7 linked regions of the Ovis aries genome follow. The protein of the gene in region 1 interacts with the protein of each later gene in a biochemical or structural test. Links are inferred from orthologs where the notes say so. Each region holds a gene or a part of one and is shown on either strand. Other genes may lie near its edges. The genes, in order: TOPBP1, TICRR, ATRIP, E2F1, RHNO1, MDC1 and RAD9A.

Region 1 (4,283 bases):
AATCCATCTCAAATCCAGCCTTCTTCCCATCAAAAGGAACCATCATCTCTCACGTGGCCTGAGCAGGAGTCTCCAAAGGGGTTCCTTCTCATCCTTTGCCCTAAATCTATTCTCCACACAGCAGCTACTAATCTTTTCAACAATACAAATCAGGTCATATCACTCTGCTGAAAACCTCCAGCAGCTTCCCACCACACTCAAAATAAAATCTTCATTTCTTACAATCACCTATAAGACCACAGAGTCTGGCCATTGCCTGTCTCTGTCTCCCCATGCTTACTTCTTCCTCTAATCCCTTTTGCTCACTCTTCTCTAGCCACTCCTGCTTTCTTTCCAGACCTGGAACAAGCTAAGTATGACCTCATTTAGAGGTTTTGCACCCCCCCCCCCCCCCACTGCTACCTGGAACACTCTTCCCCCAGGACTTCACCTGACTTGTTTCACTTCAACCACATCTGCTCACATGTCACTTCCTCAGAGATGCTTTTCCTGATCACACTTTTCTAAAATATTCTTTCCCTATTTTATGAAGAAAACAACATAGATATAGTATTATGTATACTAGCATATATAGCATACATAATATTATATATACATATATACACAGTTTTTGTCTCTCTCCCTTGTAAGAAGAATGTTTTGTGATCTATCTTGTTTGGCAACATATCCTGGCTCCCAATAAGCACTCAAATATTTTCTTAACAAATTCTGAAGTCCTTTCATTAAATACTTAGGGTGATCCTTTTAAAACGATTAAGTCAGATCATATACTCTTCTGATTAAACTCCCCCAGTGGCTCTCCATCTCACCGTAAGAAAAAGCCAAAGTCCTTAAAAGAGACCACAAGGCCCTCATGACCTCTTTATTCTTATTCTCTGAACCAAACCTTAGCATTCATCCCACATCTCCTGTTCACACTACACTACAGCCACAATAAAGCAGGACAGACACTGCAAGCACCTTCCCAGGGCCTGTGTATGATTATTTCCTCTGCCTGAAACTGAAACCTTCCCCACATATTAACATGGCTCATTATCTCACCTCCTTCAAGTATTTACAAATATCAACTTCTCCACAGAGAATATCACACTATATTTAAAATAAATTGTAAACTTCCCTTCTTCCTTAACAAACATCTTCTGGAATGTTTTAACTTGTTTTGCATTTCTCCTCCCACAGCACTTTGCAGCTTTAACATACTATATATTACACACTGATATATCTGACTAGTTTATTTCCTATAGCTATAATAGAATGTAAACTCTGAGAAAGTATGGATCTTTGCCTGCTCTCATTATCTAAATGTATCCCACGTATTTGAACAGTGCTTATCAGATGATGAACACAATTATTTGCTGAATGAACTTAAAAGAAAAACCTGCTACAAGTGTTTCTTTCTTTTCTTTTTTTTTTTACAAGTGTTTCTTAAACATACATAAGATCTTGTTAAAAAGTAGATTCCAATCAGTGAGTCTGAGCTGGGGTCCAATTTCTCAGGCCACGGTGATGCTACTGGGGGAGACACTACCCCTACATCCTCCCACATGAAACTATATAATGAAACATACTTTTAACAATTAACAACAACAAAAACAAAAAATGAAGTGTAACCAATATAGGACTGCCTCAAGTTTTTTCAACACACAAAGGTCTATGGTTAGTAGACAAAAGAAAACTACTTAATTTCTAAGACTACCAGGCCCATCACTTTCAATATAAATGTCAGTAAAGATTTCAATCCCCCCAAAATACATGATATACTAATATCAATTCAAGAGTGTGTTAATAATGAGGTATCTATGAATGTAGACTAGAGTAAAACTATTATGAAAATAAAATAACCATGACTAAGACATAAAAGGCCTAAGTCAAAAACACTAGAAACAAGAAAATGAATTCACAGCAAGACATTGTCAAGTAGTCTTACCTCAAGAGCTTTAAAAAAACATTCAGAATTGTCTGAAGACTTTAAAAACTTCACAAAAAACGGTTCTTTGTCATTTTTGGACATTTCTGAACTGTCAAAATAAAGGAACCATTAACAAGAGTAAAAACACATTACGTACAAAGTTAAATGTTTAAAGCACCTACTTTTCTGTGCAAATAAGAATGTCGAAGGACAAACATTCTGGTCTTGCCCATGAATTCGTCCATTATGGTTTGTAAGAAACAGTGGAATGTGGACAAAATCAAGGGAAAAGATGACAACAACCAGTCTTCGTAAATCAAAATACGAAATTAATGTTGCTAAACTGAATTCATCGAGGACTTTTGCTCTGGAGCTCTAAGTCTCCTAAGTCGATGGTCATTCAATTTCATTTAGCTTGAGAATGCTCAGAACGATTAGGTCCCTGAGGTCATCTGCGGCCCTCAAGATAGGTTAAGCCCTCAGTAAACGAACTTTACATATAAACATGAAAGCCAGCCATTAAAGTTAGGGCCCTAAAAGGCTAGATGCTCTCGCTTCGCAGCTGCCAGGGGAAAGTCCGATTATCGGTCCTGCCCCAGTCACGTGCTCTCCGCTGTCCCATCCACCGGTCCGGGGACCGGTTACAAGGTCCGGAATCCAGGGCCCCTAAGGCCAGAGGCGGCGTCGAGGACCCCTCCCCCTTGCGAGGTGGGGAGGGAGCGGGGTGCTCACTCTGAGCTTCACTCACCTCGGTGGAGGCAGGGGATCTCCGGGCCGCGAGTAGGGGGCCGCGCGGCACGCGGGACTGCGGCTGGGGTCGGGCGCCAGCCCGGCGCACACCCGCCGCACCCAGCGGCGCCCCCAACCAAAGCAAACGCAGACCCGGAAGTTGCCGAACCGCGAACCGACTTTCGCGCCAACCGCGCGGTCTTGCCCGTCCCTTCCGGCGGAAGTGACGCTACGACAACTGCAGCGGGGGAGGGCGGAGACAAAAGAAAGCGGCGGTGCTGGTTGGTTCCCACCCGGAGGCTTAGGTGTTCCCGGAAGGCTGTGGCAGAAGCTTCGGCTCAGGAGCTGGAAGGGCGGGTCTTACCTTTGCTGGGAATTGGCGAAGCGCTGAGGGCTAGGGCTTTGGGGCGGCGGGTCGGAGGTATTTTAGAGCAGGAGTTCGCAACTCCAGGGCCAGGGAAGGTTAGTGGTGGAAGCAGAGCCGCTCCCCATTTCTCGCGTTGCCTTCTGAACGGCCGAGCTCCCCTTGCCCTGGGAAAAATTGTCTTTTACTAAACCGGTCCCTAGTGACAAAAAATGTTGGGGACTGATGCCTCAGAGCAGACCCTAACATATCAAAAAATAAAGACAGGTAAAAGAGGGTTTCTTTAATAGTTTATGCTGAGACACCATATGTTACCTAAAACAACTCTGGGAGGCGAATACTGATTTGTATTTACAAATGTAAAAACAGGCTTAGGAAAATTAAATGAAGTGTTCGAGGTCACAGTAAGTGGTAGAAGTTTAAGACTGCACCCAAGTCTTTTTGACTCCATGGACTGGTGGACTGGATTATTTTCCTCCAGTATAGCCCAAATGTGCTCACCAGCTACAACAGCCAAGGGTCTAAAGAAAAGAAAGACGTCAGGATGACGTGAATGACATGCCTGGTGCGTAGGAGGTCTTTGCCAACTTCAGTAGTGCCCTCCAGGACTAACACCCTATTCTCCCACCTCGCTACTCCCACCTCGCTACCCCCAACCCGTGAGCATCTCATTTTTTTCTCTGTAGCTTCCCAAGTGTTGGGCAGATTGTGGGATGGAACCTAATGTTCAAATGGCAAAGGTGTGGGGAGAGGAGGTGAAATAGGATTGTAGGACCTCTGGCTTGTTGATGGCCAATGAAAAACTGCTTGGTCAGCGTTTCTCCTCATTTTATTCTTGACTGTTGGGAGTGAGAAAATCATGATTTGAGTAACCTGAGAGTTTAATGATCTGTACCTTGGTTTTTTAAAATGTCTAAAGATGGAAGATATGATGGTCATCTGAGTTAAATTCACCCATTCCAGTCCATTTTAGTTCACTGATTCCTAAAATGTCGATGTTCACCCTTGCCATCTCTTGTTTGACCACTTCCAATTTGCCTTGATTCATGGACCTGACATTCCAGGTTCCTATGCAATATTGCTCTTTACAGCATCAGATCTTGCTTCTATCACCAGTCACATCCACAGCTGGGTATTGTTTTTGCTTTGGCTCCATCCCTTCATTCTTTCTCAAGTTATTTCTCCACTGATTTCCAGTAGCATATTGGGCACCTAATGACCTGGGGAGTTCCTCTTTCAGTATCCTATCATTTTGCCTTTTCATACTGTTCATGGGGTTCT
Region 2 (2,752 bases), on another chromosome or scaffold:
GAGTAGTGAGTGCAGTGATACAGAGGCAAAGCATATTTTCACTGTAGTGTGCAAATTATTAAAACAATTTGTCTTAGAAGAAATGAAGCTTGGATACAGTGCTTAGTGCTAGAAAAAGTTGACAAGTAAAATCTGGGTCATGTTTTGGAACTGGAAACATGTCACTGTATGAAATCCAACTTATCATTCCTTTGGCTGATAAGAAACCTCCCACTGGAGTTTTTAATCTTCTTAGAGATCATTAAAACATTTCCGAGACTATGGGTTATGATGTTCAAAGCACTGAAATAAGCATCTTTCTTTACAGACGCCTGAGAAGAGTTACTGGAAGTCTCCAAGTTCTTATAAAGCCACACCAAGAAAGGTCCCTCGGACACCACAGACTCCACTGCACACCCCGGAAAGGCTGCAGAAATCCCCTGCGGAAATGACCCCTGCCAAACAGGTCATTTTTAAGGAATTCTCGAAAGACTTCTCTCCACATGGCTGGGATTCACCATCGCAACCAAAAGTCACCCCTCGGAAAGGACACTCCCTGGCAGAAGGTGCCTCTCCTCTTGAAAAGGTACCGAGAACTCCCCAGAGACAAGGTGGCCAGCCCCCCAGATTTTTGCAGAATTCTTCTTGGCCACGCTTGGCGGACTCCAGTCTGGAAAGCACCTCCTGTCCAGCAGCCCTGGTTTCATCAACTGCCCAGACCAGGAGTGTCTGTCTGACCCCTAGCAGATCCTCTGCTCAAGCACCTCCCAGGACAGCAGCCTTGGGGCTCCAGAGACAAGCCGCTTCCGAGGGCACATCTCCAAGTCAGAAACACCAGCCCCCCCGAGGCTCTGGAGCACCCCAGGCAGAGAAGCTGCCGCAGCCTTGCAGTAACAAAGCTGTCAAAACCCCAGAGAGACCAGGGAACGCAGCTCTGACTTTTCCAAAAAAAGCTATTACCTCTCCTTCACGTGGTATTTCCAAAAAGAGTTCACTTGGGGAATTTCCCATGGCATCTCCTTCGTCTGGACAAGTGGGCTGGCAAGAGGTCCAGAAATCACCCAGCATCACCACACCTCCCTCCTGTTCTGCTCCCTTGACACCCCCCAGTGCCTCACAGGTAGCTCCGTCTGACCTCTGGCCCCCTCCGCCCCCTTCCAAACATGGGAAACGGCATAAAAAGACCTCGGGAACAGAACGAGACTTCCTGGAGGGCCAGCCTGACAGCTTGGCTGCTCTGAGGGTTGCCATAACTGACAACCCAGCTGCCATCACAGATGCTGGAAAGAACCAGAAGGCAGCGACCCTCTCTTCTCCAGCTTCGCCTGAACTTCCACCTTACCCTGGAACTGGCTTTGGGAGTGACTGGCATACATCCTCTCCCTTGCTTATTGCAACAGACTCGGACTGTCTCACTCTCCTGGATGAAGCTGAGCACCATGGCCATGATAACTTAAAAAGCAGCATTTCACCCCTGGACGAAGATGAGGGGTTAAGGATGGGTACATGTGAGAAGCCGTCTCCGTGTGACCCCGGGATTCCTCCCACCTCTCCTTCCTCTGAGTCCCGCTCTCCCCTGATGCCCCCCTACGACCTGCACTGCATGGCAGACACAAAGCAGCGCCAGGCGGCCACGCAGCTAGAGGACCAGCAGGCTTCAACCTGGCCCTGTAGAGCCCCTGCCAGCTCGCAGGCCTATGAGGTTGAGCTGGAGATGCAAGCTTCTGGCCTCCCCAAGCTTCGAATTAAAAAGATAGACTCCAGCTCTTTGTCAGAAGCCGAGCCCCCACCAAGGGAGGAGAGCTCCCTCCTTGGTCCCAGTGTGCCCAAGGCCAGCAAGTCCTCAGGCAAACCCGAAGCCACCTGCCTGTCGGCCCCCTGCCTTCGTCCCTCCCATAGCACCCCAGGCAAGAGTGGGGGACAGACCTATATCTGCCAGTCATGCACCCCCACCCGCTGCCCCTGTGGTACCCCCTCTCCGTTCCAGACAGAGGTTGGGGTTCCTTGGACCCCATCCCCCAAGCACAGTGGGAAGACGACTCCTGACACAATTAAAGACTGGCCCCGCAGAAAGAGGGCGGTGGACTGCAGCCTCGGCCCCTCTGCTGGGAGGAGCGAGGTCAGTGCCGACCTTCCCGGGCGACTGTCACCACTGGAGTCAGAGGGCAAGGAGCGAGGCCTGGAACTTGGCATCGGCAGACCCCCCATCCTGGGGGATTTTGAGCTAGAGGGCGTGTGTCAGCTGCCAGACCAGTCGCCTCCCAGGGACAGCGCGCCCAAGGCTGAGGAGGCCTCCTGGGGACAGTTTGGGTTGGGGTCTAGGAAGAGATGCCTCTCTGCTAAGGAGGAGGCTGAACGACAAGTAAAGAGGGCCTGTGACCCGCAGGGAGACTCGGAAGAGCAGTCTCCAGGCACAAGCATTCGCCAGTTGCCCTCTGCGGCAGACGACGAGGCGTCCGTCCCAGGTGAGTTTGCTGTGTCGAGCTGTGTGGGCATGGCGGCACCAAGGGGATGCGGCGGGAAGGCTCGGGCTTCATTGTCGGGGCCGTGGGCTGCACTGACCGTACCATCGCTCCAGGTGCCACCCCGCCTCCCGGCTGTGCTATGCGGAGCTGCCTCTCTGCCAGCGGGCTGCAGGCGCTGACCCACTCTCCACTGCTGTTCCAGGGGAAGACACCCTCCTCTCAGCGTAAAGACGCCAGAGGTAATTTGTTGGAGATCTGTCCTTTGGTTAGCTCGATCTCAAGTTACCTCCGGGGTTTTCAGGCAGTTG
Region 3 (3,500 bases), on another chromosome or scaffold:
TATACTTCATTTATAGTTATTATAAAATATTGGCTACATTCCCTTTGGTTTGCAGTATATACTTGTAGCTTATTTTATACCTAATAGTTTGTACCTCTTACTCCCCTTCCCTTATATTGTCCCTCTCCCCACTGTAACCACTAGTTTACAACAACCTCTTTTTTAATACCCAGGGACTGAATTAAAAGATTTTCGGTAGAAAGAGCATCTAGTGCGAGGTGTGTTGTTTCTTGCAACTAGGAAACGGCCGGTCCCTTGGTACCAGGGTTTTTATGTTAGAGAAGCAGTCTTAAGCCTCTGATTAGATCAGACAATGCTGAGGCCGTCCTGTGAGTAAAGTGTGAAGAGGTAAGGATGGATTCCTTCTGCTGTCCTCTGTCTTACCTGGACTATGTATGGCCTAAAGAGTTCAGTTTCATACCCTGCCCATTATAAGCAAAGGCAGCAGAATGCTGAAAACCAGAAAAAGACGACCTGACTCACACTGTTCAAGTTTCAAGGCTGATACTGACAGACTTCTCACAGGACAGACATTAACAAACTGCTTATATCTGCAGCAAAGGTGGGGGCCATTGGGCAGCAAATGAGAAAAAATGTTCTAAGCAATTGGGACTGACATACAGTTGGGAGAAAATCACGTATCTGAAACAAATTACATAAAAACGAAGACTGGTCTACCCTAAAACTCTAGAGGTCATCTTTCCAGCCTTTTCTCATCCTGAGGAGTTGTGTTTATAAAGTCCTACAGGAAGAAGGCACTTTCAGAGAATGTGGGACCCTTATGCTACAATCCCCCAAACCATTCCAGCCTCATCTGAACCACCTTTGAGGTCTCTGGAAAAGAGGATCTGTGCCGCAGTAGCAGAGTCTAAATGACCTTTGTTCACGACTAGCCTGATACTGTCATTCAGACTTTTTAGGAAACGATAACTGTTTCCCCCCGCTAGCGCCATCATTACCTGATGTGGGAACCGGTGGGTACAGCTAGTTTATTAGCTCGTTCACTGCTCTGAAGCTTCGTTCTTAATTCATTCATCTCTGCATCTTTAAACTGGAGTTCAGACTGCAAGGACTGGAGCTGGAAGGCAAAAGAAATATAGAGGTCTCATCACATTTACAGAAACAGCTCTGGGGGACTGCCCTGGCAGCCCAGTGGTTAAAATTCCATGTTTCCAATGCAAGCGGTCCAGGTTTGATCCCTGGTCTAGGAACAAGGATCCCACCACCACCACCAATAAAAAATAGTTCTGGGCTTCAAAAATCTCCAGCTAGTAAAAGAAAAACAAACAATGAGAAATAGTATAAAAGTCTGCTGTGACATAAATGTCCTAAAATATCAAGTTTTAGCTTTCTTACTGAAAGATGGCATGGTATTCTAGAAAGATATTTTGACCTGCTTATTGCTAGGTGGTATGTGAGAATTCAAACACCATTTACTCGGCCTCTCTGAACTTCAGCTGATGTGTAAGATAAATACCTGTCTTCATGATTGGGGGGATTAAGTAAGAATGTAACTGTAAAATGCCCAGCACAAAGCTTGCTAAGGTGCAGTATCTCACAGTAACATGGAGACCTTGTAGTGAACATGTTGTTGTGGTTTAGTCGCTCAGTCGTGTTTGACTTTTTGCGACCCCATGGACTGGAGCCCCCCAGGCTCATCTGTCCATGGGATTTCCCAGGCAAGAATACTGGAATGGGTTGCCATTTCCTCCTCCAGGGGATCTTCCCGACCTAGGGATCAAACTCATGGCTCCTGCACTGGCAAGTGGGTTCTTTACCCCTGAGCCCCCAGGGAACATGGTGGTACACAATCCAGGTCTTCCTGAAGTTCTGGGCTGAGAATCTGGAATAGTTTTACCAAAACCCTGAGCAGTGTGGGGAGACCTGCTGCTCTGGCCGACAGTAACTGCTGCCATTCCCTGAGCATGGTCCATGCCAGGCATGGCACCAGACACAAGTGCAGGACCATTTAAGTTTCACAACAACTCTTCTGGTTATTTTCGGGAACAGATAAAGGAGATGAGTCATAGTGCAGGACTGATCGCCCTGAGGCCACCGCTTGAATGTGATAAAGCCTGGCTTCAATCTCTGGCTTGTTGGTACCTCCCTTGGTCACTATGCATATGGAAAAGCAACTACTGCTGTTAGTGTTAGGCACAGGTCAGCGCTTCTTCAAAGATTACCAAGTTTGCTGAATGATGTAATGGCAGAGTAAAACCCATGTCCTTATTTGGGAAGTGAAGGAAAGTACTATATACCTGGCACCCAGTTTTTCTCCCCACAACAGAAGCTCCGTCCCCTAAGAAACATCATTTTCCTGCCTTTGAATATATGATTTGAATGGGAGCTATTATCTCTTTGGTTCCAGTGACTAGTTCCGGGCCACGCACCTGACTCAGATTAGACCAGTTAGGGCCTTCCCCAGAATTTTAAAACTTGAGATGAGGACCTCTAAGTCTTCAGTCTGTTCTGGAGCTGTGAAATATGAGCCCTGGAGCTCCTAGAGAAAACATCCTCAGCCATAAGGATGGAATTTATCAACAGTACAGAGAATAAAGATGAGTCCTGGTAAATCTCAAGTCATTTGAGACTGCAGTACATCTGTTTTCCCCAGACTTAGTTACAGAAGGCAGTCCTTTTTTTGTTTGTTTGTTTGGCCTAAGCTAGGTCAGTTGAGTTTCTGATCTGCCCAAAAGAAAAAAAAAGCATAATTTAAGCCTGTTTCTGCAAAGTGTTAGCCAGTGACTTAGGCAACCACAGCAAAGCAGAATTTCATCTATGTCCTTTTCCAAGCCACAGAGCCTCAAAGAAAAGTACATATAATTAGTTGGTGGCAAAAGTATTTTCAACAAACAACTGCTGAAATCTTCCTGGGAGATTTATAAGCAACTTTAGGCATTGCTTCCAAAGGAAATCAGTAAGCAGGCAAAGCTGATGTCCATACAAGCAAAACATATCTCTGGGTCACCTTTTTGGAGAATTCCTTTTCTTTTTCACTGAGTGCTTGAGTTTTCTCTTGCTCAAGAAGGAAATGAGATCTTCTCTGTTCCTCTAGAATGGATTCTGTCTGATGCAATGAGTCCCGCAAAATTTTAATTTCTCCGTTTTTAATGAGCACTTCTTCTTCCATTGCCTTCATCTGGAAATTCCAAATTGATCTTGTGAAAGGTTTGTAAGGGAAAATTACATATGCACTTATTTCAATATGTAGCTGGGGAGATGAAGAAACACATTTAAAACATGTCCAAAGGATCAATAAGAGCTCAGAATACATCCATGCCAACCAGACCATGACCTGCTAGGTCCATTCCTGGGACAGCAGGTTTTCAGCAAATAGCTTAAGGACGTACTTGTCACTTCTGCATGCACATTCCTAAGGTCCTAGGGACCTATAGATAGTCATATGAAAGATGTCTGCTTTTTTGCAAAACTTAATGAAAATAGCAACCATTATGATGTTGTGTTTCTTCTATAAGACACATGCTATAAATATCTCAGTA
Region 4 (4,277 bases), on another chromosome or scaffold:
CCACTTTCTCTGCTTCAGTTTGTATTATTATAGAATCCATTTCAAGAGTAACCTTGGTATCAGGGTGAGGACCATGAGGAATTGCTGCCTTGTCTCTAAAGTGGGGATGATGTGCTATCGGAACACAGGAAGAGAAAAAAGAAAAAATGGATGGGGCTGGGGATCTTGTCCCCCTCAACTTTCGCATCTCTTCCATAGTAAATATGCATTACATCCAGTTTGTTTTTTAAGAGCCATGACAACAGGGGAGATGTGGACCGGAAGAGCCAGGAGGAATGGTTGAATTGCACAGAGCCTTGTAGGCAGGAGGTACTCAATGAATGCTCACTTGTGCAGAAGCTGAGCCTGTAGCTTGTTTCAAGGACTGCCCCCAAACAAATGCTAGTGCAGAGGGTGAGTGGAGGCCACAGCTCAGATAGCCAGTGGCTACTCACAGGTACAATGTTAGGAGGTGTTGCACAGCAAAAGCTGGGCCCATGTTTCTGAACTACAGCAGCAAGGTGGTACTGGGCCCTACTCCTGCTCACGGCAGAAAACACGTACTAGCCCTTAAGTACTGTGACGGCAGAGGCTCTTTACGTGCCTGTGCCTAGAACCTCAGAGGCACTCACTAACAACTGCTGAATGAATGGAATGCTCAGACCCAGTGAGGCTGCCCCTGACACCCTGGGTGTGGAGCAGAGGGCAAACTTCCTGATCCCAGTCCCTGGCTGTCCCTCTAAGCCTGAAGCTCCATTGCCCAAGGGCAGGACCTGGGCCTAAGCACCTGTCCATCAGCTAAATGGAGGCTACTCGATCAGGCTCCAAGCTGGTACCTGCAGGGACAGGTTGCTGGGGTATAGGAGACCAATCAGGGGACCCACCCTGTGCAACTTCCCTCCCTCTCACTCATTTGGAGGAAGGGACCCTGGGCTTCCTACAATCTCTATTAGCATCTCCAGGAAGTAAGGCATGCCAGCAGTTAACCACTCAGGAAATCTGGTCTGGTCCCACCACTCATGAGCTGACTCACCAGGGAAGGTTCTAACATCTCTAAGCCTCAGCTTCCCTATCTGTAAAACGGGAAAGCTGTTGACAGGGTTAAATGAGTTAATTGGGTAAAGTGCTTGGCACATGGCCTAACTCACAAAACAGTCTCAAAACAATGGTGCCTCCTATTGTTATTATTAGCATCTCAGTGATTCCGGAAGGAAGGATGTACTGGGCAGGGGGCCAAAGGGGTCGGGGGAACCTTGTTGGGATGTCTCAGGGACCAGCTGCTACCCAGGCCTCCATCAGCAGCTGGGCTTCCACCTCCTTGCCCTGGGCCCTGCCTCCCTGCCTCAACTTGCTCAGCCAACTGTGCTGAGACCCCATCCTGCCTGCCCATCCATGCCCTAACTTTACCCACAGGCTGCACCAGTCAAACTGGTCTCCACGCCCTGTCCTGCAGCCCACAGGACCAAGCTCTAGGCCTCCGCCCCCTCCTTCCCCCCACCTCCTAATTCAGACACCTCTCTGGGCCCCCTAGTCTCAACTGTCTTTAGCCTCTCGCTGTGCAGGGAGCACTTTATCAAGGGATATCCCTGGGGCATTTACTCTCTCCTGGTACTGGGGGCCTCCTCACCAGCTCCCAGAGGCCTAGCCCACCCAGGACTTCCACTGGGGCCCGGGGGTCTGCCTGCCTGATTAATGAGGTTCCATGGCAACCAGGGCCTGGGAGGGTGGAGGGTGGCAGATGGAAGGACAGGCAGAGGGAGGGGATCAGCAGCTGGCCCAGTTACCCCCGCCCCTGCAGAGAAGGCCTCCCAGCCAGGCAGCCTGTCCCCAGAGGCCCGGAGGGCCAGGCCTGCACCTGGCAGTCCCAGAGGCAGGAAGGAGGGTCTCCTCAATGGCTCTTCTACGGACTGGTCCCAGAACACCCCACTTTGACCTCCCCAAGCAGCCATGCCCACCACCCAGCCACAAGTTATGGTCTGAAGCCAGAAGGCCTCAGTTTAAATCCCACTTGCAGCCTTGTGACCAGGGGGCAAGCCACTTCCCGTCTCTGGGCACAGTTCAGATGGGCACAGTGACAACACCGAGCTCACAGCATGGATGTGAGTTTTAGCTGCCTTGAAGTCAGCCAAAGGCCTGGCATGCAGTCAGCGACAGCTGAATACACGTGGACCATTATTATCATTGAGTCTGCTCCGGCGAGGAAGCTGAGGCCCACAGCACAGAGCAGCAAACAAGGACTGGCCCGAGGTCACCCCGCACCCCAGGGCGGAGCCCCGAGGCCCAACCCAGGCTCGGCACCGCCCAGCCTGGACGCCTCAGCCCACCCTCCCCCGCCCCCGCTGCCGCCGGGCCAAACATTGCGCCCCGCCCGGGTCTGCGCAGGGGTCCAAGGCAGCGCACTCAGCCCAGTGTCCCTGATGTCCGTACCGGCGGGCGGCCGAGCGCGGGGCGCGGCGCGCTGGGTGTGGGCCGGGGCGCCTGCGGCGTGGCGAAGAGCAGCAGGTCAGGGTCCCGGGGGCCGGCGGCCGGTGCGGCGGGGCCGGCGGGGGCCGGCGGGGCGCTGGCGTCCTGCGCGGTGGAGATGATGACGATCTGCGAGGAGTCGAGCAGCCGCAGCGCGCCGGCCCCGAGCAAGGCCTCCAGCGCCGGCGCGCAAGGGCCGCCCGCGGGGGCCCCGGCCACGGCCATGGCGCTCACGGCCCGCGCGGCCCGGGTGGCAGTCGGCGGCGGCGGCGCGGGCCCATGGCGGCAGGCCGAGGCGAGGGCTAGATCCCGCTCCGGATCCCGCTCCGCCCCCGGCCGCCGCTGCCTGCAAAGTCCCGGCCACTTTTACGCGCCAAATCCTTTTTGCCGCGAAAGAGCCACGAGCCGCCGAGCGCTACCACCATTGGCTGCCCGGACTGTGACGGAGGCGACGGCGACGTCACCCATTGGCTGCAGCGCGCCGGTCCGGCGGCGGAGGGCGGGACGGGGCGGCGGCGCGAGGGAGCACGACCAATCGGGGGTCGGGGCGCGCGCAGGCTTTGTCGGGGCGGTGCCAGGCGCGTTCGCACTCCCCGCCCTCAGAGGGGACGGCCCCTGTCCGAGGAGTGGTGGCCCCACCCCCTCCCCGACGCACCCCCATCTGGCCGATGCCTGTAAGTTGAGGACAGAATGTCCATTAAGCATATCTCAACGTCAGCAGACCCCACGTGACCCCGATAACTCTCACCTGTGGCCCCGACACTCTCGGCCAGATCTCTAGAAACTGCCCCTCCTCTCTTCTCGGTTCTCAGGCCCACCTCCAAGCTCCGGCCACTTCTCCCTCAACTTCCGTCACCAAAGCCGTTCACTTTCAAATCGTGTGCCCACCCTATTCCTCTCACCCAGAGCCCAAGCAAAAGGGAGCTGTCAGAAAACGGGGAGGGATATCTGGACCAATACAGCTCTGGGCTTTTCTACAAGCCCTCCTATAGCTGGAAACTCCAGTACCCTATGCACAACTTCTGCGTGAACTGATTCACTCGTTCAACAAACGTTTTGAGAGCCGGCTCTAAGCCCCATTCTTGACTCTTGGCGCTAAGGAACTCACAGTTTAGTGAAAAAGGGAAGAGAGAAACAGGTACAAGCATTTACAACATGATGTGGAATTTTCACTATTAATTCCATGTTAGATCTCACAAAGGGAGGAGGTGAGTATGCTGAGCATGAAAATGCATTTAATCCGGAGGCCCTGGGACCTCTCCATCAGCCATTTCTCATTGCTCAGATCAGCTGATTTGAGCAGTACTGTCCCCTCCTCTATGCCAGGCTCTGTGCCAGCACTAAGGGCAGAGATGCAAAAGGCTTGATGATTTCTATGAACTTGCCTGCCATCTGGTGGGGACTGACCCATCAGGGGAAAAAAAAACACTAAGACGCAGTCAAGAATGAGATCCCTAGGCCCCATATAAATATCACTTCTTCCAGGGAACACTCAAGTATTGAAGTTACTCGCTTCCTCCACTGTCCACCCCCACTTCTGTTCCAGCACTGAGCGGGCACACTGGATCTCTTTATCTGCTTTCCTTATCAGACTGGGAGCTCCAATAGGGCCTCTTCCCAGCACTGGCCTGGTCCACAGTAGGTGCAGAGAAGGACTGTAAAAAGAAACAGGCTCACACTGGAGGCTACCTGGAATGTCCCAGGTCTCAGAATCACCTGGGTGCTTGTTAACTATGGGCCCACCCCATCCCTGCCAATTTAGAATCTAAGTGCCCAGGCATCATTTTCACAAGCAAACCCCTACTCTCATGCCAGGTGATTTTTATGTACGTTCA
Region 5 (3,945 bases), on another chromosome or scaffold:
CCGTCTACGGGGTCGCACAGGGTTGGACACGACTGAAGCGACTTAGCAGCAGCAGGATGTAATATGGGGCTTCCCAGGTGGCACCAGTGGTAAAGAACCCACTTGCCAATGCAGGGAAATGTAAGAGAGAGATGTGGGTTCAATCTCTGGATCAAGAGGATCCCCTGGAGGAGGGCATGGCAACCGACTCCAGTATTCTTGCCTGGACAATCCCATGAACAGAGGAGACAAGTGGGCTACAGTCCATGGAGCTACAGTTCATGTACAGTCAATGGGCTATAGTTGTGTAAGAGTCAGACACGACTGAAGCGACTTAGCACACACACACAGAATGTAACATACACTGTGGTCACTATAGTCAGTATTGTATTTCAAATCTGAAAGTTGCCAAGAAAATAAACTTAAAAGTTTTCATCACAGGACTTCCCTGGTGGTCTAGTGACTAAGACTCCACACTCCCAATGCAGGGGCCTAGGTTCGATCCCTGGTCAAGAAACTAGATCCCACATGATGCGACTAAGACCCAGCATAGCCAAATACATTAAAATATATATATATATTTTAAAGTTCTCGTGACAAGGGAAAAGATTTTTGTCACTACAGTGACGGGTGGTAACTAGACTTACTGTGACCATTTTGCAATGTATAATAAATACCAAATCATTATGTTGTACACCTAAAACTAACATAATGTTCTATGACAATTATACTTGTGGAGGGGTGGAGCTTAGATGTGTGGGATTCAGTGATATAGTTCAGGATTAAATGTGGGATCACAATCAATGGCAATCTATTTTTGAGACTTGTTAGATGCAACTCAAAATTTGATAAAAGCATTCCTCCTGTGTGAAAAATAATACTATTACCCTACCCTTCTCTCCCTCTCTCCACCACCCTTCAGGTTCCAATAATTATGGCCTGGGATAATGCAGTAGTCTAACTGGTCTACCCTAACCTCTGGCACCCCCTGCAGGGGAATGTTTTGGAAATGCAAAGCTGATCTCCACTCCCTCCTGTCTGAAACAATTGTTTGGGGCAAGAAGGAAACTCCTCCGTGGTGGCTGAGGCCCTGTTGCTCTGGCTCCAGTGTCATCGCCCACAGTCCACCCTTGTCCCTTAGCTCAAACCCCTCAGATGTCTTCTTCAGCCTTTGTGCTGCCCTTGCTTCCTCCTGTCATGTGGTCCTTCAGTTCAGTCGCTCAGTGCTGTCTGACTCTTCAACCCCATGAATCGCAGCACCCCAGGCCTCCCTGTCCATCACCAACTCCCGGAGTTCACTCAGATTCACGTGCATCGAGTCCGTGATGCCATCCAGCCATCTCATCCTCTGTCGTCCCCTTCTCCTCTTGCCCCCAAATCCCTCCCCAGCATCAGGGTCTTTTCCAATGAGTCAACTCTTCGCATGAGGTGGCCAAAGTACTGGAGTTTCAGCTTTAGCATCATTCCTTCCAAAGAACACCCAGGACTGATCTCCTTTAGAATGGACTGGTTGGATCTCCTTGCAGTCCAAGGGACTCTCAGGAGTCTTCTCCAACACCACAGTTCAAAAGCATCAGTTCTTTGGCGCTCAGATTTCTTCACAGTCCAACTCTCCCATCCATACACGACTACTGGAAAAATCATAGCCTTGACTAGACGGACCTTTGTTGGCAAAGTAATGTCTCTGCTTTTCAATATGCTATCTAGGTTGGTCATAACTTTCCTTCCAAGGAGTAAGCGTCTTTGTACCCCCTCAATTCCCTTGTCCTGGAGTGTCTCCTTCCCTTGTTTGCATAACGGCATCCGATCTCAGACCAAGCTTTAGTTAATCAGAAATGCCTTTCTGGGTACCTCCCTGGGGGAGGCGGGGGGTGAGGTTCAGCGGCTGAGACTCTGCGCTCCCAATGCAGGGGGCCCGGGTGAACTAGATGCCCCAGGCTACAGCTAAGACCTGGTGCAGCCAAACAAATAAATATTTTAAAAAGAAAGAAAGAAAAGAAATGCCTTTCTCACCTAACTTAAGGCAAGATCTCCTTATTTACATACTCAGTTATCCCTGAGCTGTTATCACTTCACAGTAGTAATTCTTCATTTGCTTAAATATGCAATTCGACGGGAGCTCGTGTGAGCCCCTCTTACCTCCCTACAGACTGCAAGCTCGGGAGAAAAACCACCGCATCTCGCCCCGCCACTGCATCCCAGAGCCGCCCCGCACATGGCCGACGCTCAACTAAAAACGTGCTAAATAAGAAAACAAAGTCCATCACTACAAAGAAAAGACTGCGAGGGACGGGGCGGGAGATCAGAGATCCAAGATTCCAAGCGGAGGCGAAGGTCCGCGGCGTGCGCGGTCATTTTTAAGAAGGAGGGAACCAGAGCGAGGGGGTCGTAACCCCCTTCGGGCTGCTCGGGGAGCCAGGGCGCTCGCTGCCCGGGAGGTCGACGGCGGACAGTACCCCCGCAGCGAGGAACCGGGGACGCGGGGAGAGCACGGGGCGGACGGTGGGAGAGCACGGGGCGGCCGGGGGTCCCTACTGTCCCCCGAGGTCCCTCGCGTCCCGCCACCGCGGAGCCCTCCTGCGCCCTCCCCCCACGAGCCTTCGGCCCCACCCGCCGCCACTCGGCCCGGCCGCCCGGTCCGCACTCCGCTCTGCCCGTCTCACCGGCCTCACCCGCCGCCGATCAGTCCGCCCTGCCTGCCCGCGGAAGCAAACGATCCGCCCGCCCACCTCGCCGGCCCCGCGGCGCCACCTCACCTGCCCGTCCCGCCGTCGCCGCCGCCGATACGCCCGCCTCTCCCGCCCTCCGGGCCCGGAGCCCCGCCCGCCGCCGGCGTCCCGGCCGAACGCGGATACAAAGCCGGCGCTGATTGGTCACGCTCGTCACGTGACCGCAACGCTCCGCCGGCGCCAATTTCAAACAGCGGAACAAACTGAAAGCCCCAGAGCGGGACCCCACCCCCGGCCCGGGCCTGGGACACCCTCCCCCCCTCCCCTCCCCCGCCGGGATCCCGGGATTCCCCGCCCCGCAGCCGGGGTCGCGGCCCGGCCCGCAGGTCGGAGCAGCGCCGAGCCGCCCGGAGCCGGCGGTGCAGCGAGGTGAGTGGGCGGCGGGCTGGAGGCCCGGGGCCGGCGGGCGCGGAGAGCTGGCTCCAGCCGGGGGGTTGGGGGGACTGGCAACAGTGCGCCGCGCTGTTGCATCCAGCCTCCCGGCCCCCCACCCCCCCTCACCTCTCCCACTGAGCCCCCCTAGCCTTTCATCTGGGTCTGGGGTCCTTCTAAGCTTACTGCGCTGGTTGCCGCGGCTCGCATACTCCCCTGAGCCCAGGTGCTCTTCCTTCTAGGTAACCCAGTCTCCACTCCGCCCTGTCCCAGGACCCTCCTCCGGGTTCCGGAGACCCCCGCAGCCTTGCTCTGGTCTGGATAGGGGTGAGTCCCCGGGAGCCGCCTCGGAAATCTCCGGGCTAGAAAGTGCTGGCAATGGTAGCAAGTAAGCTGGTCAGAGTAGAAGGAAAAATTAAGACGCATTAGACCAGGAAAATATCTTTCTGGGGGGGAGGAAGAAATACTAGCATCTACTGATTTGATGGGTGGAGGGAGGAAGGGAGGGCGGAAGAGATAGGAGGTGGAAGTAAAACTGAGATTTGAAGGTAGAGGAAACCTAGATATAAAGGGAAGGGAGGCGGCAGAGTGGAAAGGGTCTGTGACCTCGAAGCAGATGGCAAATATCAGACGAGCGTGACAGTCATTTCTAGGGAAATTGCAGATATTCTAAAGAAGAGGCAGACAGTTACTCTGTCTCTCAAAGTACCTCTCAGCAGAATTTCACTACTTCGCACAATGGTAGAGTATGCCATGGATCTGTCAAAATCAACAACACACAATTTTTAAAAGATAAAACTCGTCCTTAATGCACAGCACTAGTCAGGAGACAAGGATTATAGTCTTGGTTCTGGAAGAGAAGTTA
Region 6 (3,963 bases), on another chromosome or scaffold:
ACCCACCCTCCTGATACACAAACTTACCTACTTCTTCCTCTGAGTCCTCAGCCAACAGAAGCCTGGAGGGTTGAGTTCCTCCCTGTACCCTGGGTGTCTCCTCTACACTTAGAGGGCCCCGGGAGACAAAAGGCCGGGGGACATCCAAGCGATGGTACTGGCAGGGCAAGTCAGCAAAGAGAATCAACTCCCGGTCCCGCAAACGATGACTCACCCCAGGGCTCAGGACCTTAGGAGGCCGCAGGATTTGAGTGCCATTGAGGCTCCCGCAATCCCGAAGGACAGGCGCCTTGTCCCAGGCAGAGATTTCAATCACTGCATGTTGTTTGGATATTGATGAAAAGGGCAGGGCCACAGAGCAATCAGGCATTCGGCCTATCATGTTCTTTCCAAGGTAGAGTGGGAAGTCTAAGAATTAGAGAGGTAGGTGAGTTCCAAAGCCATACTCCTAACTTGCTATTAAGAAAAACATCTGTTAAGTTCCCCACGACTCACTCAAGGTCCCCCTCATGCATTAGAAAAATAAAAGGCCCTAGAATAACTAGCTAATAAAGAATATGTGCAATGCATTATTCATAGTCAACATTCCATCCATCTACACTGGATTGTTTCTATTGTGGTAAAATATATATAAAATTTGGGCTTCCCAAATAATAATGTCCCCAGTAAGACATTTTTTCCAGATCTCACAAATGCATATCTAAGCTTGCAATCATCCTATTACCTCCCCACAGAAATAAGAGGCCAGTACTTTAGCATGAAATTACTCCTGACCTTTTTCTGGTCCATAGGAACTACTGAAGATATGCAGCTGTGCTAGGGGCTCCAAGCTATACCCCAGAGATTCATTGGGGCTCTCTGCAACCTCCTCCTCTTCTTCAACTTCCCAGTTTAAAATCTGGGTGTCTTCCATGATCTGAGAAAAAAACACATTATCCCTTCCTTCAGTGGCTCACACACACAGCCTCAGGGAGGAGACTGGTTACTGCAGTCTCCTGGATAGCTATGGAGGCTGATGCTTCTCTTTCTGCCAATCATTCTGTTGTTATTCCTCTGAAGCATTTAAGAAATATCTCTGACCATGACACAGAATAAGAAAGAAATGTAACAGAGTTCCAAGTACAGAAATATAAGGGTCTTCCCTGGTTGTCCAGTGGCTAAGACTCTGCACTTCCACTGCTGGGGGGTGCAGGTTCCATCCTTGGTCAGGGAACTAAGATCCTGCATGGCCAAAAAACCAAAAAAAAAAAAAAAAAAAAACCACCCACAGAACACCAACAAAACAAACAAACAAAAACTGAGTTGAGAGACTTCTCTGGCGGTCCAGTGGCTAAGACTCTGTGCTCCCAATGCAGGGGGCCAGGGTGCAACGCCGGGTTAGAGAACTATAGCCCACATGCCCCAACTAAGGCCACACAGCATGTGGGATCTTAGTTCCCTAACCAGGGATTGATCCCTTGCCCCTGTAGTGGAAGCACGGAGTCCTAACCACTGGACTGCCAGAAAACTCCTTATTTTACTTTCTATTTCTCAGATAAAGAAACTGCAACAGGGATGGAGTAACAGATTTGTCTAAGATCACTCAGATAATGGGGCTTCCCTTGTGGCTCAGCTGGTGAAGAATCTCCCTGCAATGCGGGAGACCTGGGTTCAACCCCTGGGTTGGGAAGATCCCCTGGAGAAGAGAAAGGCTACACACTCCAGTACTGTGGCCTGGAGAATTCCAGGGACTGTAGAGTCAGATAAGACTGAGTATCTTTCACTCAGATAATGTCTCTTCCTGTTTAATATTCTTTGATGGTTTTCCATACCCATAGGATAAAATATATCTAAACTCCTTAGCAAGACCCTCAACGATCAGAACCTCATCTCCTGAAATGTGTGTCCCATCCCCACCCCGTCCAAGCCTGTGGTTCTACAACATGGACCTTCTCCTTAATCTCTGAACACACTGTCCTCGTTCTCTCACATCTGCAGGCCTTAGCCAGCTCCTTAGGACGTTGCCCCTAGTGTTGTGATCCAACTCCTATCCATCCTTTTAGCTCAAATGTCACTTTCGAAGCAAAGCCTTGCCTTTAGTCTTCTCTGTGTTCTGGTACTTTCCCCTATTTCCCATGTATCCTAAGTGTTTCACGGTGGTTGGTGGACTTATATTATCCTAATAGGTCTCACCATAGTGTAACTATTACATTCCATTTCTGCCTCACACATCCCCCTTGAGAACTGGACCAGTTAGAACTGTCTTTTCCCCAAGGGTCCATCATGTTAATTCAACAGTAGTTACTGTGTACCTGATACCATTAGAGATATTTCGAATACATTCATGAGTCAAACGTAAAATTAACTCTGCTCTCCTGATGAAATAATAAGATGAAAAGTCAAACTAGTATGGGTGGGAATTAAATTTGAAAGATGCTACCTTAAAGGGAAAATGTAGACAAGGAAAGTGGGACACCTCCATGGAGAAAGTGTTAACATCGTTTCATGAAGGCGAAATGAGCGGCGCCCACGACCTTCGGCTCCAATCCAATGGGCCTTCAACTTTGATCTCGATCCCAAGGGTTCCCTCTGAGCCCAACCTCTCCCAGTGTCTTCATACCTAAACTCAGGGAGGGCCGTCAAGTGAAGATGAGGGTTATAATCCGAGAAGCAAATTTCCAAGAATCCTCCGCCCAGTCGTAACCAAGGCACGCCCCTCCCGCCCTCCGGGAGAACCAAGATGGCATCCGGGGAGTCGTGGGCGAGGCCCCCCAGAACTCACCTACTTTGAGTCCCCGCGCGCGCCACCAGTAACGGCTGCGACAGGGGTGGTGCCAGTGCCTGAGCGGGGAAGGGGCTGATTAGCTGATTGGCTGAAGCCTTTGTCTTTCTCGGCCCTGCGGCAAGCAGACGGAGCAATCCAACGCGGAGGCATAGCCGGAGCCCCGCCCCCGCCCCGCCCCGCCCCCTTACGGCTCAAAGGGGCGGCTTCTCCGGGGAGACAGATCCGTTGGACGAGGCGGTAATCGGAAGCCTCGGAGGCGCACAGAATAGCGCACTTCGATTGGGCAGCTCCAAAGGGACAACCCACTGCGGTTTCACCACCCACTTCCCGCGTATATTTCCAAGTTGCGACCACAGAGTCTGGATGCCAGCAGCGGATAGAGGGGCTTACCACAGTCGTCGACCTAAGCATGTAGTGCGGCCAGAGCGCCTTCTCTGGTCCTCCCAGAAATGGTGTCCGCTGACTCATGAGAAATATAAGGGTTGCGGGCTGCAGTCGTGGCTGAAGACTTCAGTCTGGAGAATAGCCCGTAGGCGTGGCGCTTGAGGACTCACTACAATGGAAGTTCATTTCCTTTTGATTTAGCTCATCTAGAAGTCATGTCATTTCCTCCCTGAGAATCCATTCCTGATGGACACTTTGAGGTCATTATCCTAGAGTAAAGATATCTAGGCAAACGGAGAGAACTCTTTTGTTAACCATCTTAAAGGCTGACCGAGGTCTTTGAAGGGCTACAGAATGGTAAATTATTTTGCTAAATTTCATACTAAGACAATTTCACAGGAATAATTTAGGAGGACCTTTTGCATTAGTATTCTCACTTCGTTCTGACCAGAAATAAGAGTTCTGCGGAAGTTAGCTTGCCTAGGCTCCTACGGCTGTTAGAGACAAACTGAAACTGTTTAATCGTGAATTCTGAACTCTCTTCACTACCACAAAATAACTACTTTCACTGTGATTGTGCCTTCAAACATAAACATTTTAACTGGGTAGACGAGTTTTACAGAAATTTATGTTCTTTTATTTAGAAGATGAGAAATGTGTGTTGAATCCAGTGTGAATTAACACCTTGCTATCATCTAACCAAGTGCCTCATAGGTAAACAGCTCTCTTGCCAATTCAGGAGACGCAGGAGAAACGAGTTCGATCCCTGGGTCGGAAAGATTCCGCGGAGAAGGAAATGGCAACCAGCTCCAGTA
Region 7 (4,207 bases), on another chromosome or scaffold:
ATGGGAGAGGAGGACCAAGTTGCCATCTGTTTAGGAGGCAGAGCGCTCAGGCTTGCTGAAGGATTGCAGTATGTAAGAGGTGGGTCAGGATGGAGTCAAGGATGAGTCCCAGTTTACTGACCTAAATGCCTGCGTAGAAGTGGTACCATTTACACTGACCCCCTTAAAAGGCAAGAATAATCTCCCCCAGTAATCCAGGGAAACCTGATAAGGGAGGAAACCTGACGTAAGGAGAGGAAGTGGAGTCCAGAATTGCAGACCAGGAGCAGGAGGGTAACGGTCCCACAAACGTGGCTTCCTCACTGGCAACACTGCCAGAGGAGCAAGGCCCTAAAGGAACGCAGGGGTGCCCAAGGGTCCCTCAAAGCACACCAGGTGCTGCAAGAAACCAGAGGCCAGGAGCCCCTCCGTGACTTGCCCTCCTCTTCGCACACCTGCGGACCGAGGCTGCGGACGAGGGAAGACCTGCCAGGCTGACTGCTGTGTCCCACCGGCGCCAGTCGTGTCGCACCCTTTGTGACCCCATGGACTGTAGCCCGCCAGACTCCTCGGTCCATGGGATTTTCTGGGCAAGAACACTGGGGTGCGTTGCCATTTCCTCTTCCAGGGGATCTTCCCGACCCAGGGATTAACTAAGCCCCTCTTTTGGCACCCTCTCTTGGTCATTTTCCAACGGCCAGAGACGCAGGAGTCTATCCTCATAAAATGTTTCCAGTGCTTTCCATCAGTGACCTTCATCATTCAGCAGCCCTCCTCTCACAAACCCACTTCCCTCCCAACGGAGGGAAGAGCCCCCACGTGCTGCTGAGTCTTGACTCTCGCCTTCTCCTGCTGGCCAAATCTTTCTACCCCTTTTCGTCCGGGGAAGCTTCTGTTCTTTGGGATCAAAGAAGGATCGTAGAAGCCACGGCGAGCAGCCACTTCCCACCCCGGGATCCTGTAGCAAGGTGCGTTACTATCTTTTCGGAGCTGGCAGTTGCTGCTTCTGTCCGCGTCCCCGGCCCGCCCGGACGGGGTGAGACGGTCTTGCATCGACCCCGTACGCACCCCGCCGGCGCCCGACAAACGTCCAGGAAATCCGTACTAAATTAGTGACCCGGGCCGGGCCCGCCCGCACATCTCCGGATTCCGAGCTCACTGTTCGCTCCCCGACACCCTCTGGGCGTCTCGCGTTCGGGTGAGGGGCCGCGGTGGGGCCGGCTGCCCGCCGTGCTTCACAGGGGCGCTCGAGGGCCGAGAGTGGGCCTAGACCGCACGGAGGAACCCGGCGCTCCCGGGTCACGTGACAGGGCCCGCCCAGGGCGCAGCCTCCGTCACGTGACGGCGCAGCCGGCGAGCGTCTTTCTCACGTGACGGAGCTGCCGGCTTGCGGCCCAATCAGAGGGCGGGGGCGGGGCTGCCGGGGGCGGTGCGCGGGAAGGGAACCCCAACCGCCCGGAGCCGCGGGAGAGACCCGGAGCGGATCGTTGAGCTGGGGTCCGGCCCAAAGCCCCCCGCCCGCCCCATCCCGGTCACTGCGGGCAGCATGAAGTGTCTTGTCACGGGCAGCAACGTGAAGGGTGAGTCGGGGCCGGCCGGGGGCTGGAACCACGTGGGATGGCCCGAGGCGCCCGCAAACCGCTGTCTCTCTCCTCCCCGCAGTGCTCGGCAAGGCCGTCCACTCCCTGTCCCGCATCGGGGACGAACTCTACCTGGAGCCCCTGGAAGACGGGGTGAGGAGACCGGGTATGGGGGAATGGCGTGAAAGTCCCAACAGGGAGCCCTGATCGGGGCTCGAGTCTCGCCCCCATCAGGCAGGGTGCCCGGTGGGCACGTTTGCTGAGTTTAACAGGGGCCTCCCCTGTTGCTGGGGTGTCCCTTTGGGCCCTGTCATCTTCCTAGGCCGGTGTCTGAATCGAGAGCCCTTGCCCTCCCTCAAATGCCCAGTGGTGGATGGGGGTGATTAGGTAAAAGGCGTGGGTGCTGAAGGCTGGGTCGCGCCCTTGCTGTGGAAACGGCGGGGCTGACGCCCACTCGGGACTCGGGGAAGGCTTCATGGAGGACACCCCTAATGACTGAAAGGAAAGGGCGGGCTTCTGCAGGTGATGGTGGAACAGAAGCCTTTGGGGCAAGTGCCTGGGCAAAGCTGGCTTGAGGGCTGGGCCCAGCACTGCTGGTGACCACATCTTTCTCCCCACTTTTCCTGGCCCCAGCTCTCCCTCCGGACCGTGAACTCCTCCCGCTCGGCCTACGCCTGCTTCCTCTTTGCCCCCCTCTTCTTCCAGCAGTACCAGGCTGCCACCCCTGGGCAGGACCAGCTGCGCTGTAAGATCCTGATGAAGGTGAGGTGGGTCCCTCAGCAGTGGCAGGGCACTCCCCCCAGGAACCCCTCTTGGCAGTGCAGTTTGCTCTGGAGCACAGAGCAGGTGCCTGCAGGAGGAGAGATGTATACTGGAGCAGTCCGGTGCAGAACGCAGAGCCTGGCCAAGTAGAGACATCCATGGGGGTAACGGGCCATATGGAGAGGGTAGCTGAATCTGCCAGGAACCTGCAGGGAGTAAATGACTCTCAGGTTGGTCCTTGAAAGATACGCAGGTCTTTTGAAGGCATTCCAGACCAGGATAAGAGCACAAATGAAGGCCTGGAAGGGTGCAGATATCTGCATGTGTGAGGGGTCCTTTCCTGGTGTGACAGTGTTGAGCCCATGATGGGCCAGAGCCCAAGGCGACTGGACATGAGAGCCAGTTGGCGGAGGCGCAGTGCTGAGCGGATGTGTTTCCCTCGCCTAGTCCTTCCTGTCTGTCTTCCGCTCGCTGGCAATGCTGGAAAAGACTGTGGAGAAATGCTGCATTTCCCTGAATGACAGGAGCAGCCGCCTGGTAGTTCAGCTGCACTGCAAATATGGTGAGTGAGCAGCTGGCTGATCCAGGGGTCCTTGCGGTGTGGGATTAGAGGTTGGTGAGCCCGCTGAGACCCTGTCTGCCCATCCAGGGGTGAGGAAGACTCACAACCTGTCCTTCCAGGACTGCGAGTCCCTGCAGGCCATCTTCGACCCAGCCTTGTGTCCCCATGTGCTCCGTGCCCCAGCCAGGTGAGCACGCCCCTGGTTGCACGCTGAGCCCTAGGCTTTTCTCTTCCTTCTTTCAGCCTCAGGAGTCAGTTTAAGGAGGCACCTCCTCCGTTTTTCCTGCAGGGTATCTGTGAACCTCAAAGCGTTCATCCAACCCAGTTTGCTTTCAGGGCCTTGCCTGGCCCTTTAAGGGCAGAGGCTGGAGTGAGGAGGGGCCAGATGCTCCCTTATCCCATGTTCCTCTCTGTCTCCTGAGTCTGTATTCTCCACCTCAAAGTCTGACTTGGCTTTCTGACCACTCAGCCCCACTCTGACTCCTCTTTCAAAGAACAGGTCTCCGGCTTGCCCTCACATCTCCTCTGGCCTTTGAAGGTCCGTTAATTTTTGTGGCTCCGGGACTTGTGACCTTTCTCTGACCTGGTCATCCTTCTGGGATGAGTCCCATTCAAGGGCAGCCTCTCTTCCTACCTGGCTGGGTTCTATCCCTGAGGGGTTCTCAGGCCACGGCTGGACAGGGAGGTCACGGTCCTGGAGGGCTGCCTGAATAATCAGCTATAGGAGAGGAGCCATTCTGGGCAGTCACAGGGGCCGTACAAGACCTGGGAGATGGGGAGCCCAGCAGACGCCAAGGTCCCTAGAGAAGACCAGAGGCTTGGGTCCCCTCCCACCTGCCCACGTGCAGGGTGCACCTTGCACTCAAGTAACCCAAGGTCTCACGTTTCTTTGCTTTTGGTAGCCGCAGGACCTGGTAACCTGAAGGTCCCTTTGAGCCCTGACTTTGTTTTTCTGAGTTTTGTTGAAATAGCACTACCTAGGATCCCTTTGGGTAGAGAAAGAATCAATCCATGGTCTGGGTTTTGAGAATTTTTCTTTTTTTTAAAACGAGTGATTGTTTCTCTTTATCTTATGGACAATTTCAAATTCATATAAAAGCAGATGATAACCAGCTTTGTCCCAGTTGTCTTGAGGCAAATTCCAGGTATTATTTCACCTGAAACTATTTACTAGCCTGTCTCTACTAGACAGGGACCTGAGGACTCTTTGTAAGGCGGTGTTCATGCGGACAATGTGGGTCTGGTCTCCCAATCCTGGATGGGCAGGTGCCACCTGCCTGGTTCGGTTCAGCACAAACCGCCTGAACTTCCTGCTGCCTTCTGT

Evidence for each region.
Region 2: the proteins of TOPBP1 (region 1) and TICRR form a complex in vitro, tested with the Homo sapiens proteins (2 studies listed by BioGRID). The link is inferred for Ovis aries from reciprocal best matches to the Homo sapiens genes TOPBP1 and TICRR.
Region 3: the proteins of TOPBP1 (region 1) and ATRIP form a complex in vitro, tested with the Homo sapiens proteins (2 studies listed by BioGRID). The link is inferred for Ovis aries from reciprocal best matches to the Homo sapiens genes TOPBP1 and ATRIP.
Region 4: the proteins of TOPBP1 (region 1) and E2F1 form a complex in vitro, tested with the Homo sapiens proteins (4 studies listed by BioGRID and IntAct). The link is inferred for Ovis aries from reciprocal best matches to the Homo sapiens genes TOPBP1 and E2F1.
Region 5: the proteins of TOPBP1 (region 1) and RHNO1 form a complex in vitro, tested with the Homo sapiens proteins (2 studies listed by BioGRID). The link is inferred for Ovis aries from reciprocal best matches to the Homo sapiens genes TOPBP1 and RHNO1.
Region 6: the proteins of TOPBP1 (region 1) and MDC1 are reported together in a solved structure, tested with the Homo sapiens proteins (3 studies listed by BioGRID, with this or other methods). The link is inferred for Ovis aries from reciprocal best matches to the Homo sapiens genes TOPBP1 and MDC1.
Region 7: the proteins of TOPBP1 (region 1) and RAD9A form a complex in vitro, tested with the Homo sapiens proteins (4 studies listed by BioGRID). The link is inferred for Ovis aries from reciprocal best matches to the Homo sapiens genes TOPBP1 and RAD9A.

The regions. Positions count from the first base shown.
Region 1 is NC_056054.1:256,378,201-256,382,483, reverse strand, and holds the start of TOPBP1 (DNA topoisomerase 2-binding protein 1), read right to left. Parts: upstream 2,801-4,283; 5' UTR 2,658-2,800; intron 2,489-2,657; exon of another isoform or gene 2,092-2,488; intron 2,019-2,091; exon of another isoform or gene 2,014-2,018; 5' UTR 2,012-2,013; coding exon 1,928-2,011; intron 1-1,927. UniProt on the Homo sapiens protein: Scaffold protein that acts as a key protein-protein adapter in DNA replication and DNA repair. Composed of multiple BRCT domains, which specifically recognize and bind phosphorylated proteins, bringing proteins together into functional combinations.
Region 2 is NC_056071.1:20,374,774-20,377,525, forward strand, and holds part of TICRR (treslin), read left to right. Parts: intron 1-307; coding exon 308-2,444; intron 2,445-2,557; coding exon 2,558-2,752.
Region 3 is NC_056072.1:51,440,097-51,443,596, forward strand, and holds part of ATRIP (ATR-interacting protein), read right to left. Parts: intron 3,140-3,500; coding exon 2,969-3,139; intron 1,079-2,968; coding exon 960-1,078; intron 1-959. UniProt on the Homo sapiens protein: Required for checkpoint signaling after DNA damage. Required for ATR expression, possibly by stabilizing the protein.
Region 4 is NC_056066.1:63,140,864-63,145,140, forward strand, and holds the start of E2F1 (transcription factor E2F1), read right to left. Parts: upstream 2,801-4,277; 5' UTR 2,668-2,800; coding exon 2,407-2,667; intron 1-2,406. UniProt on the Homo sapiens protein: Transcription activator that binds DNA cooperatively with DP proteins through the E2 recognition site, 5'-TTTC[CG]CGC-3' found in the promoter region of a number of genes whose products are involved in cell cycle regulation or in DNA replication.
Region 5 is NC_056056.1:212,723,284-212,727,228, forward strand, and holds the start of RHNO1 (RAD9, HUS1, RAD1-interacting nuclear orphan protein 1), read right to left. Parts: upstream 2,801-3,945; 5' UTR 2,652-2,800; exon of another isoform or gene 2,643-2,651; intron 1-2,642. UniProt on the Homo sapiens protein: Involved in microhomology-mediated end-joining (MMEJ) DNA repair by promoting recruitment of polymerase theta (POLQ) to DNA damage sites during mitosis.
Region 6 is NC_056073.1:27,420,074-27,424,036, reverse strand, and holds the start of MDC1 (mediator of DNA damage checkpoint protein 1), read right to left. Parts: upstream 2,801-3,963; 5' UTR 2,462-2,800; coding exon 2,420-2,461; intron 917-2,419; coding exon 775-916; intron 409-774; coding exon 28-408; intron 1-27. UniProt on the Homo sapiens protein: Histone reader protein required for checkpoint-mediated cell cycle arrest in response to DNA damage within both the S phase and G2/M phases of the cell cycle.
Region 7 is NC_056074.1:41,692,054-41,696,260, forward strand, and holds the start of RAD9A (cell cycle checkpoint control protein RAD9A), read left to right. Parts: upstream 1-1,407; 5' UTR 1,408-1,525; coding exon 1,526-1,559; intron 1,560-1,641; coding exon 1,642-1,712; exon of another isoform or gene 1,713-1,725; intron 1,726-2,192; coding exon 2,193-2,321; intron 2,322-2,768; coding exon 2,769-2,883; intron 2,884-2,970; coding exon 2,971-3,070; intron 3,071-4,207. UniProt on the Homo sapiens protein: Component of the 9-1-1 cell-cycle checkpoint response complex that plays a major role in DNA repair. The 9-1-1 complex is recruited to DNA lesion upon damage by the RAD17-replication factor C (RFC) clamp loader complex.